Linked DNA regions of Caenorhabditis elegans. The protein of the gene in region 2 interacts with the protein of the main gene of each other region in a pairwise test. Each region holds a gene or a part of one and is shown on either strand. Other genes may lie near its edges.

Region 1 (5,459 bases), on a different chromosome or scaffold from region 2:
AGAATGAGAGTCAGCATTACTTGACCCAAGTACTTTCTATAAGTAGCTTATTATACAGCACTGAGTATGTAAAAAAAGAAAAACGAGAAGGGAGGTAGGTTATGACTGAATATTTTTGACAGGAATATTATAAATGCTTTAGGTACGTAAGTTTTAAAAACTAGAATCAACTGAATATACCTTTTTTTACAGCATAATTTTTTTTCATTCATCGCCGAAAAAAACTTTTAGCCATTAGAGTAGCAACTAAGCTTTGAGGATAGGTGTTAACTGGAATAAAATTTCCTATTTTTCAAATTAGAATTTTCAACCTTCAAAACTTAATTTTGTATTCAGTAAAACTTCATGTGTTACCTGTCCCCTCAAAACTCAAAAACTTGATTGTATTGAAATATGCAGCTACAGGGTGGGCCATAATTATGCGCACTCGTATTTTTCTTTTTTTTTCATTTGTTTTGGAGGTTTTTCACTATTTGAAACAGTAATTTGATTTGTGATTAATTATTTCGAAGAGTTAAAATGTGATTTTAATGTGTTATCAAATATGGATATATTGTAAGTAACCAGTAGGATTCTTCGGATGATTTTTCAAAAATACATATTTGATATATACCGTATTTCTTCTATTAATATGGCCTCCCTATTAGACTTGCACTCCCTATTAGTATTGCTCCTTGAACACCCTCCGAAAATTAGTATTGCACTCCCTATTAGTGTTGCACTCCCTAATAGTATTGCGTCTACTTTTTTTTTGGTACAGACCCACCTCACTAATTTTGAGATTTTAACAACATTTTTTGCCTACTTTGCAACAATTTGTGGTAAAATTTTTATGAAATTGAAGTTATTGTACCTTTTTGTTGCAATTACAATCAAATTTTCACTTTCACACAAGGTTCGAGTTTTTTCAGAAAAAAAATCAGAAAGCTCAAAGTCAGAAAAATTTTCTGAAAATTAATATTGCACTCCCTAATAGTCTTGCACTCCCTATTAGTATTGCAAGCGGGAAGACCATCGAACAATAGTATTGCAGTCATATTAATAGAAGAAATACGGTATACAATTTTCAAAACTTCGAAACGAGGTTTATATTAGGTCTCCAAATAAGTTCCGGGTCAAAAATCATAACTTTGTTCGCTGTGTATCGATTTTTATGAAACTTTGGGAATTTATGTTATCAACCATGTTCTTTCATTTGACAATAGTCGCAAAAATTTTTGTACACCTCAAGTGTCCTAACTCGGAGCCAATTTTTCCAGGAATTTTTCCTATCTCGCTTCTTTTAACCTTTGAATTGAGGTTTGTGTGCGGATTTTGCTTTGCTTAAAATACATTATTAGAAAACGACAAAAGTTTAGAAAAAAATCCGTCCAAAAAATTTTTTTTAAATATATAATAATCGTTTTAGTTTGAAATTTGAATCTCGAGAAATATTCAAAAAACTCAAAAATTATCCGAAAAAATTATATTTTCTATTAACATTTTGGTGTATCGAAATAAATTGATATGTTTTGTATGTGTAAAAATAGTTCACGCTTGTTTACATCATTTTTGTAGGGAAAATCTAGAACTTTCGACAAAATTTTTTTTGAACATTTTTTGACGACCAACCAAAAAAAAATTTTTTGGACGGATTTTTTTCTAAAATTTTGTCGTTTTCTAATAATGTATTTTAAGCAAGGCGAAATCCGCACACAAACCTCAATTCAAAGGTCTTCTTTTAGAAGCGAGATAGGAAAAATGCCTGAAAAAATTGGCTCCGAGTTAGGACACTTGGGGTGGACAAAAAATTTTGTGACTGATGTCAAATGAAAGATCATTGTTGATAACATGAATTCCCAAAGTTTCATAAAAATCGATACACAGAGAACAAAGTTATGATTTTTGACCCGGAACTTATTTGGAGACCTAATAGATTTTTCACTTAAAAAATACATGTAAGAACTGTGATTTGATAAGCAAACACATACACAAATCCGGAACCGGAAGATTTTAAAATTAGTATTCTCTTTTCTATTTCATAAAACTTTTATAGTTTTGTGTTTAATCACGTTATGAAAAAGATCAATGATCTGAACTTCGTCAAATCTGATTTAGGATATATTTTGGTTGTTCAGCTCGGTTTGTCTGATGTAAATTATTTTTGAAAATTCTACTGAAACACCTAACTGATTTTATTTTTTCAGATAACAAAAAAAGCAGAGACAATGCCGTTTCTTCGAGAGTAACACAAAATTAGCAAAACTATTCAATATTGTCACATGCCGTGTCAATGTCTAGGGAATTGTAAAAATGGGTGTGGACTTGCGAACGTTTATATTCATTGTATACGCGTCGCACCAAATCCATCATAAAAATTGGATAGAAAGAATGAAGAACAGGAGGTTGGGTGTCCCCCGTGGTTCTCAGTCCCACACAGAAAGGAAAATGTGCCAGAGCACATTTTCTAATTGGTCAACGAGAAGAAGGGCGATTCGTCGTACTACTAACACAAGTCCAGCTGCTTCTCTGACCCAGGGAGAAAAAAGATGGGGGGAAATGGTAAATCTAGTTAAAACTGGAGTGAAGTGAATAAAATGCGAATAGTCAATAGGGGTCGAGCATTTATAACTGCGAATATGGCATTGAAACCTATTGAATTGGAATAACAAGTTGGAGAAGCGACGTTTTGCCGGGAGGCGGCAAAGCGGGAAAGGGGAGAGGAACTGGATTTATTCCATTTTTTTCTATTCTTCCAAACTTCCTTTCCCAAATAAATTATGCCTAAACCTTTTAAAAGTGTATAATTTTATAAATATTGTAGTTTGTAAAAAATTATGATCTAATTATTCTAGATGAGTAGAGAAGATACACTTGATTGGATAGTCTCCCATATTTGGATCACGCATGCGTTGTCCTCAAACTAGGGACCGGGAGTTGACGGACGAGGGAAGGGAGATGTGACCTCTTGGTTTGTCTGCGTCCCGTCTTCCACTCATGCTCTCTTTCAATCCACCATACCAGCTATTACTATCTCTACTCTCGTTTTCTTCCGCGTCTCGTTTACTTGTGACTTTAGAAGAGGATCTCTCACCCTCCCCACACCCTCTCCGGCATATATCTACAGCGAACGGGAATACGAAGGGAACCGAACACTTGGAGGATTAGAGAACCTAACCGCATAAAGCATTAAGAGCGGTTCTGAATCTGTCATCTACACTCGAAGGGCCTTATTGTGGGCAGACAATTTCGAATGAGATTGTGACAATTCATCGAAAAGTAGAAGGAACGTTAAAAACAATACATAAAACTTAACATACTGTTTTTCATGTTTTAACATGAACTTTTTTTTTTTGAGAAACTGAGAAATTACAAAATATTAGTTTTATAATACTTTACGTATAATTTATTTTACAATTTCGCCTTATTTTCTTTCAAAACTGAGAGCAGCTTCCTTTTTTTGAAAAATAGAAAAACAAAAGCTGATACTTCAGAAACAATCGTAAACTTTATCAGTACTTTTTTAATGAGTTTCAAACAATAATCATTTTTTTAGGAAAACTTTTGAATCAACAAATATTCATTAGTTTCGTCAAGTTAATATTTTTCAAGGCTGAATTTTTCCAAATGGTATGAAATTATACCATTCAATTTTTTTTTTGAAATCCAATGCCAAACTCAAATGTTGAAATTATATTTGTTTTTAGTTGAAAAGTAATTTTCACAATTTTCAAGCGCAAAATGCTTACCACATGTGAAGAGTTCATTGTCATTGATTTCTTTCCCAGTACTATGTGAATGACCCCTGAAAAACATTTTCTTCTTTATTAGTATATGTTGTTCGTAAAATTAAAATAAACAAAATACCATGGCCTTATAGTTTTTGAGAAGAATTATGAAATGAACTGAACTCACATTTTTGTTAAGTCCTACATGGGAGAATGTTTTGATGTTTTCAAAGTTAGAAAAGCCTGAAAATTATGAAGTTTGGCTTGAATTAAAAAAAAGAAATAAAAAGAAAAAATCGAAGAAGACAAAAAAAAAAGAACATGGAGGAAAAAAGAAAGGACGCGCAATTGGTGTGAAGGTATGTGTCGAGTACCCGGCTGCCCTCTCTTTTCTCATAACCCATCCAGTGACCAGCAGAGCGCGCTTGCATACTTCTCACTCGTTGTTCACTGCTTATTACTGCGCACTTGGTTCAACACTAACGCCTATTCGCTAGTCAAACAATAACAACAGTTCCTGTCAGATAAATAGTACTAAGCTAGAGGAGATTGGAAACGCGGAGTAGAGACTACAAATACTTTGAACTGATTGAACTTATATGCATACGAAATGAATGGATAATGTTTAAACTGGATATAATTAGTTTTTAGTTGTTTTACAAAATTGTGGTGATTTAATAATTAAAAAAAAGTTATGCTATTCGGATATTTGTGTATTCGCAAAAACCATAGTTTTAAACCAATTAACAAATTGTCAATTACAAATCTAAAATCTAACAATTATTGACAAGACCATACATATTAATAAACAAAAAAGTTTTGCATTGTAAAACCAATCAAAACTTGTCGCCGTTCCTTTTTCGCTATGTTTTATACAAATCTGCGATACGAATTCGTATCGGTTGAAAGTGTGGGGATGAAGTGTGAAATGAAACAAAAAGTGTGATCACAAAGAATGGGACGAGAGGCCAGGAGGTACTCAAAACCCCCGCCAATTTTGTCCCATAAAAATTGGAGCGACGAAAGAGTATGGGAATGCAGTTTGAAATAGAAAAGTTGAACAATAGGTAGTATTCAGATTGACGCATTTTTTAAATGGAAATCAAAACTAAAAGAATCAAAATTTTGAAGAAACAGTACGGTATGCCTCTGAGGGTTGGTTGAGTGAATTCTAACTCATTAGAAAATTGCTGTCCTACTATTTTGAAAACAATAAAAGGGCTCCTTAGACTAAAATATGCTGAAAAGTACCTATCAAGTTTTAAATAAGTTTAAAAATTTTTGGAGATTTGCATTGTTTCACGGACTATATAATTGTACATGAAGCACTAATTTTAAATTGTGTGTTTAAGAATAATTTGTTAATTGAGAACAAATTCCATACTTGAAACACTCAATAAGAACGCACTCTAATGCATACAATAATTCTTTAAAAAAACTCCCAAGTTTTAATAATTGCTGACGAAGATGTTTTGGAAAACGTGATCTCCAAGTAATGAATGCTTGGCAATTACAAATAACTTTTTGAAATCAAAAGATTATATGTGGTTGTATTTCTCCATAAAAAAGTGGAATTGTGTGTAGGGTTTTCAAAAGATGAAAATAGGTTTGTTGTTATAACATGCATATGTAATATGACTATGAAACTGTGCTATTTTGCTAGTGTTAGTGATTTTGATGGTGACAAAGTGTTCTATTTTCGATAATTTTTTTTATTTTTCGTCTTTTCTCCTCGTTTAATTGTTGGAAATT
Region 2 (6,481 bases):
TAAGAAATGAAAAGCGGAAAAATGTTTGGGAAGCCGGGAAACTAATGAGCGTCTTGTAGGCAGGAACATAGGCAGGCAGTTATACATTCAAAATAATTTTTACTTGAAATAATGAAAGATAGGTACTTAGATGAAGCAGAATATGTAGCCTAAAAACCAACATATCTACAACTTTTCTCCCCTTCTCTTCAATTTCCTTTTTTTGTACGTTTAGGTATTTAATTCGGAAGATTTATCGTTTCGGACATACACAACAAAACTGCTGGGAATCATCCGGTGAATGCTGTTGCCTCGGGTTTTGATTGTGAGAAACTGTGCGTGTGTTTTCGTTAGCCGATTCGTATTGGTCTTTATCAATAATAAAGAATATCAGTTTTGATCTACGAGAACAAAGAGGTCGAAAATGTTGCAAAATTCAGAAGAACGTATGAAGAGTTTAGATAAGGTTCAAATATTAAAGTGAATAGAATGGATTGCAAAGTGAATTTTTGGGGGTTCTGATAATTTTTCCACTAAAACAAAAATTGTATAATTTGGCACCTACATATATGTGTAAATATAGCAGACGTAACTCTATAATTGTAAGTTAACAATAAAAAGTAAAATAAACTTCCGGTGGTCATCAAGCTGTAAGTAGCCATGAGACATTAATGATTATCTATGTAAATTGGGCGTTTTGGTTTTAGAAGTTGTGTGTGGGGTATGTCATAAATCATGCGTAGATGATGAGATCTTTTCGGGTAAGCATCCAAAAGGTGGACGAACGGAAGAAGGTGAACTGGGAAGCAAAAATGATAGGGTTATTAGCCGATACTATCAATGGGAGAAATCAGAGAGGAAGCTACACAAAAACAGGGAAAGAAGGAGGAGGAAGATGAAAAAACACTGGATTGGAATTCATGAGAAAAGGAAATGATAAGCATTTTTTTGGAAGAACACATTTTGGATAAGTTGCAATCGAGGGGAGATGTAAAAACTATATCGACGAAGAATTTCAAATATTTCTAGGTTAAATTCTCAGCTGGTTCAAAATTAATAATTGGTCTTCTTTTCGAAAAACCAAAGAATTACAGAAAGCAATTTAAAATTGAAAGCATTCAAAATTTGCACAAATAGACGAATGTTATTGAAGAGACGTTTGATGGTTCATATCTTATTTCTACCTAGTACTAGAAAAACATTGTCAAATGTAGAAAAGAAGTGAACATATTTGGGAAACTAACACTTTTCCCGTCACATTCGTGAGCACTGGTATCTGTGATATTAAACGTATTGCAACGAGAACAATGCGTACAAGAAATGCCAAAAAACGGTCTCCAAAGAAAAAGTGCAAATCAAGATCATTCAAGTTGAAAGAATAAGCCTAACACATCTTGAGATAGTTGTTCAAACCTCCTTCTTTCATTCTGAATCAATGTTCTCGTCGTCTTTCAGGATAATTCAATAGGGGAACAAGATGATCCACACGCAGCCATAAGGTCGTCAATCGGAGGAGAGAGGCCATTTTCAACACAAAAAAAAAACGCTTCATCGTTCCTTTGTGATAATTGGAATAGTGATGGAGGTAGGAGGAGGAGGAGAAAGTTCGAAAAGAAAACGACACCGGATATTTGATATATCTTTTACGATTCTGATGATGATGACTCGCGAGGAAAGTGATTCTCGAGAACAAAAAAAGCATTTAGCAAAATAATTTCCGATATGTTTTTAATTTATGCACAAACAATTCACTAAGCGTTCAAAATGTTCAAATATTATTCATATATGTATATAGGCTCTTATCAAAAATATCCAACTTAGATAAACTATCAAAAACCAAGTGATGTTAGAATGTCTTGATTAAAAAATAAAAAAATCTATAAACGCAAACAATTGGGAGTTGGGTGAGAAAAAATGACGCGATAAAGTTCATATGACATCTGGATATCTTGTACAAACAGAATTTTCTGTAACATCGGATAGGGTCAATAATATGATATCATTGAAGTTTTGAGTACGTTCTCTATTAGAAAAGAAAATTGAATTTTAAAAATTCTCCTTTTGTCATTCTCTGTAACCTTCAGACAAATCGTCTTGTTAAAATTTTATTGTCTTTAATTTCAAAGCGGCAAAATTTTTTTGACATTATCCAAAACTGATTCAAGCCAAAAAAGCCAAAGCCAAAAAAAACTATTTCGCAAGCTGCCAGTAAACAAATTGTTTCAGACAATTAGCAACGGTTTCACTTCACTAATTTGATGATTCAATCTTAATCTGCTAGGAATCTAAAATGAAGAGAAAACGGAGGAAAAAGAAGATCTAGTAGTCTGGTACCAGTTTGTCAGATTCTAAGCACAGCCGTCAATTATGAGAAACTGTGGATAAAAACAGATGATACAGAGCTCACAGAGAAATTTTTTATAAAAAAATTTAAAAAGAAGGCATCCTTTTTTGAGAATGTCACCGCTTTGATCAAAATAATGAATTTTCAAAAAAATAGGGGCTTCTTGAAAAAAAAGGAGAAAAAAGGAAAAATGTTTTGATAACACCCCGAGAAATATCAAAACTGCGACTTTCTCTGCGTGCTCTCTATATGTCTCTTGCATTCTATGACTACATCATCTTGCGACTATTTAAATATAATTAATCTTTTGAAAAAGTCAATAAACTGAGTGTTTCTACACACACGATCTTTAAAGTTTTAAGTTTAAAAATACGTTTTTTTAAAGAAGTTATAATTTTTTAATTTTCCCTAAAAAACCTAAGACGTTTACCCACACCAACCTGATTATCCTATCGAAATCCGATATGAATTTTCAAGTGGAGTTCATAGTCTGCATGCACACAAAGACAGTTGAAAAAGTATGCTTCAACAGGTGCCAAAAGTCATTGCCGGGTCGGCTCCCACAGCGGCAACAAGAAAAGATACCGCTTGCGGGAAAACCAGTTTTTTGGTGTGAAGAATTGAAAATGAACATACTACTGTCAAATGAGAGTGCGCGGGAAAGCAAGAATATAGAAAAAGAGCACATATTATTGTGTAAATAAACATGAAAAAGTTGCAAAAAGAAGAGAAAAAGCTGGGGGGAAAGGTTGAACATTTGTTGAAAAAATCGTATGCCGACATAGTCAGTTTTACCAAAAAATTAAACCCATCAATAACTTTTTTTTGCTTCACTTTTTCGGTATATTTTAAACTTTTTCTAGAACAGTTTAAACTTCAACTGCCACATCGAGCAATTATAATACTAATATTTGGTCAATACTGAACGTGGACGTGAACGTGAACGTGGGGTTTGAAACCGCTTTACAAGACGGAGTATTGAATTTTTCAAAACATTCTCGAATAAAAAAAACATAATAACCTTACAGGCGAAAAGTTCCAGAAATGTTAGATTTTTTCCAAAAATTACAGTAATGGGAAATATCTAACTTTTTAAAAGTTTACAGTTCTGACAATATTAATCTAATTATTTTTTTATTTTAAAAAGTGTAGTTAACAAATGCCTTACAAAATTTTGGTTATATATCCAGTAAATACAGAAGATAACCAGTATTTAAAATTTTTTTAAAAACTCACATAATCCGGTGGTGGCTCATATGGTCTTGCCGTCATCCTTGACGAATGCCTTGATTGTGGTTTGTCAATTGAAGTCGCTATTTTTGCAATTTAAAATTATCAAGTGATAAAACTTGATAATTCAAAAATAAATATGTTTGATTTTTGTATTGGCTACCTGGAACTTTCTGATTTAAAAAAATGGTAAAGGAGGAAGTTTTAGTAAAAGAATGACAAAGGTGAGAGAAAAACTTTTCGTTTTTATTTTTGATGAGAAACGGATGTGACAGAAATTGGATTAAGAATGAAAGTGGGGGATACAAGTATTTTGAATTTTGAAAATAAATTTTCAATAAATTTGATAGAGCAATTATTGGCTAAAAATAAAACAAGAAAGGATCATTTTCAAAAATATCTAGAGCGCAAAACTTTAAGGAACAATGAAAAATTAACCCTTTATCAACTTTTTGGTCACAGAAAACTCATTCATTTTGCATCGAAATTGACCAAACGGAAAAAAGACAGAAACTGGAGCAAATTAATCCATAATGCTCACACTCATAAGCAATCGAAATTGAAAATCGGACAGAAATTTCAAGCGTATTTTCTTCCGACACAACACACTCTTCTCAATAGACACTTGAGCAACAGCTCGCGTTGAACCATTTCCGATCAAAAAGATGACGTGGCAACACAAAGTCTTCCGAATTTTTTGGATGGTGTCTGTGTGTTTTATTTGCCGAAAAGGTGTGGAAACTATACTATTGAAGGAAGTGTTGAGAGTGGATTGATGGAAGGAAATTGATGGAAATAATGGACAAAAACAAGAAAAAATAAATATTTTTGGAAAAAAAAACTGACAACCCAATAGAGCAGAAGAGTTAATGGACCAGAGATGAGCACAAATATTTATAGAACAATTTTGTAAATATAGTTGTTAAAAGAAACTATACTAAACATCGTGAACATGAGATGGTGGCAGGAAAACACATATTTCTTTGAATTCAGATATTTTAATAGTTGAAAAGTTTTGGATTTGTCTGAAACCATCAAAAACAGTAGTCCCAATATGGGAATATGTAGCACTCCATCAAGTCCTAAAATTCAAAAAAGTTGCAATGTACAAAAATAGAGAGGTGTTTTTGAATATGAGAAGCATAGGAAGCTTGAGGGTCTGTTGAATTTAAAAGCTTTCACATTATCCAAAATTTTAACTACTTTTAACTGCCAACTTAGAATTTCAAAACCAAAAAATCCACATATCATACTAAAATTCCAATGTATACAACACATTTTACTCCTTCTACATTCCCCCATGGTAAAGATCATTTATAAACTAAAAATCAACATTTACCTCCTTCTCAAAGTCGTATGGTAAACACGGTGGTATACATAGTATCGATAAAAAAGATCTTAACAGGTTTTTAACAACTATTTTCAAAAAAAAATTTCAAAGGAAGGAAGAAGAAGAAGCAACATAAAAACCGTGGCCTAATTACAACGATCAGTGATAATAAACAAAGGTGATAAAAACCGTAGAGGGACATAAATTATCTACAGACCACCACATGGTTAACATTTGGTTTCGATTTTCAACGGAAAGTGAAAACTTTCAAACAAAATCTTCAACAGAGAAAAAAACTAAAGGCTCTAGTCCTCATCCGTACTAAGACTTGTCTTTGAAGAAGAACTTTCTATTCATTTAAACCCTATAATCGACACCTCATATGACCTTTTATGATGAAAGAATATAATAAATGGCCATCCGTCCGGAAGGAGGTATATTGACACAGACACACAGTACTACTAAAATCCATGAAGAAAGATATCATCATGTGTATACACTTCTAGAAAGAAGACGAAAGGTAGGAAGTACTCTACACAAACACCTTTTTTACAAGCCAAGCACACCACAATAATAATAACTGTTCGTGAAGAGGAGGAGACAGTGTCTACAATTACGCAACAAGATGAAGCCGAACGTAAAGAAAAGAAATAGGAAAAGTGAGAGATTTCAGAGAATATGCCTAAGATCGTCTGATTTTTTGGTATATATTCAGAAACCCTGCAAAATTACACTTTTCTTAATATGCAGACTTGTCTGAGTAGCTCACGACTGCCTATTTTCTCAACTTTTACATGATTCCTAAGTGTCTCGATTAATACTTTCAATAAAATAGTGAGAGATTACAAAAGCGAAATTATTTCATTTCAAGCGTGTTTGCGAAGTTCCAGATTTTCAGATACTTCTGGCATTCTAGAACTAGCTGCCACGTTTCTAATAACCCCAACCTCTTGAAGCATCCACTTCCAAAAACTGAAATACAAGACAAGTAGTAGTTGGTATGCCGAGAGGAGAGAAATACATACAATACCGTTCTTTTTTCGGAAAAAAAAAGAAAATTATATGGGAAGAGTTGAAAGAGATACTTACTGTCTGCGTGGGGTCATGAATGGCAATTAGGAACGACGGTGGCAGCAACAAGAAGTGAAAAAACGGTAAGAGAAGACGGGAAAGGTAGAGAAGAAAAAAGAGTATTTGTGTGTAGGTGGAGGTAGTTGTCAGTTCGTCTCAAGAGTTTACATAATTTGAGGTACAGAACAACGAGGAGGTGAACGGTGTGGTAGGGGTGATACTTTAATAATATTTCTGGCATAAACCTTCAGAATATTGAAACACTACTCAACAGTGTTTATTTGAGTATCCGAAATTTGTGAAACATATGGCCAAGCTAGAAATTTCTACATATTTGCTGACTTGTCTGGTGAGAGCGAGTATGATCGGAGTTTTTCATAATCAACAACTTGGTAATAATCGACATTGTAATCATAAACTAAAAAGCTTACTTTCTGTGTCAAAATTAGTTTCTTCCTCCCTTTTCAATATTTTTTTTTGTAAAAATTGAGCATGGTTCTATTACATGAATTAATTGAGTCTCACGG

The links. The genes of interacting proteins can lie anywhere in the genome.
Region 1: the proteins of C05D10.4 (region 2) and abl-1 interact in binary tests that used the Caenorhabditis elegans proteins (3 or more experiments, as listed by UniProt).

What each region holds. Positions count from the first base shown.
Region 1 is NC_003284.9:10,620,251-10,625,709, forward strand, and holds the start of abl-1 (Tyrosine-protein kinase abl-1), read right to left. Parts: upstream 3,940-5,459; 5' UTR 3,897-3,939; coding exon 3,895-3,896; intron 3,785-3,894; coding exon 3,729-3,784; intron 2,458-3,728; exon of another isoform or gene 2,333-2,457; intron 1-2,332. UniProt on the Caenorhabditis elegans protein: Functions downstream of migratory protein mig-13 and is involved in Q neuroblast migration during larval development.
Region 2 is NC_003281.10:6,099,147-6,105,627, forward strand, and holds the start of C05D10.4 (SAM domain-containing protein), read right to left. Parts: upstream 3,717-6,481; 5' UTR 3,596-3,716; coding exon 3,560-3,595; intron 2,285-3,559; exon of another isoform or gene 2,264-2,284; intron 1-2,263.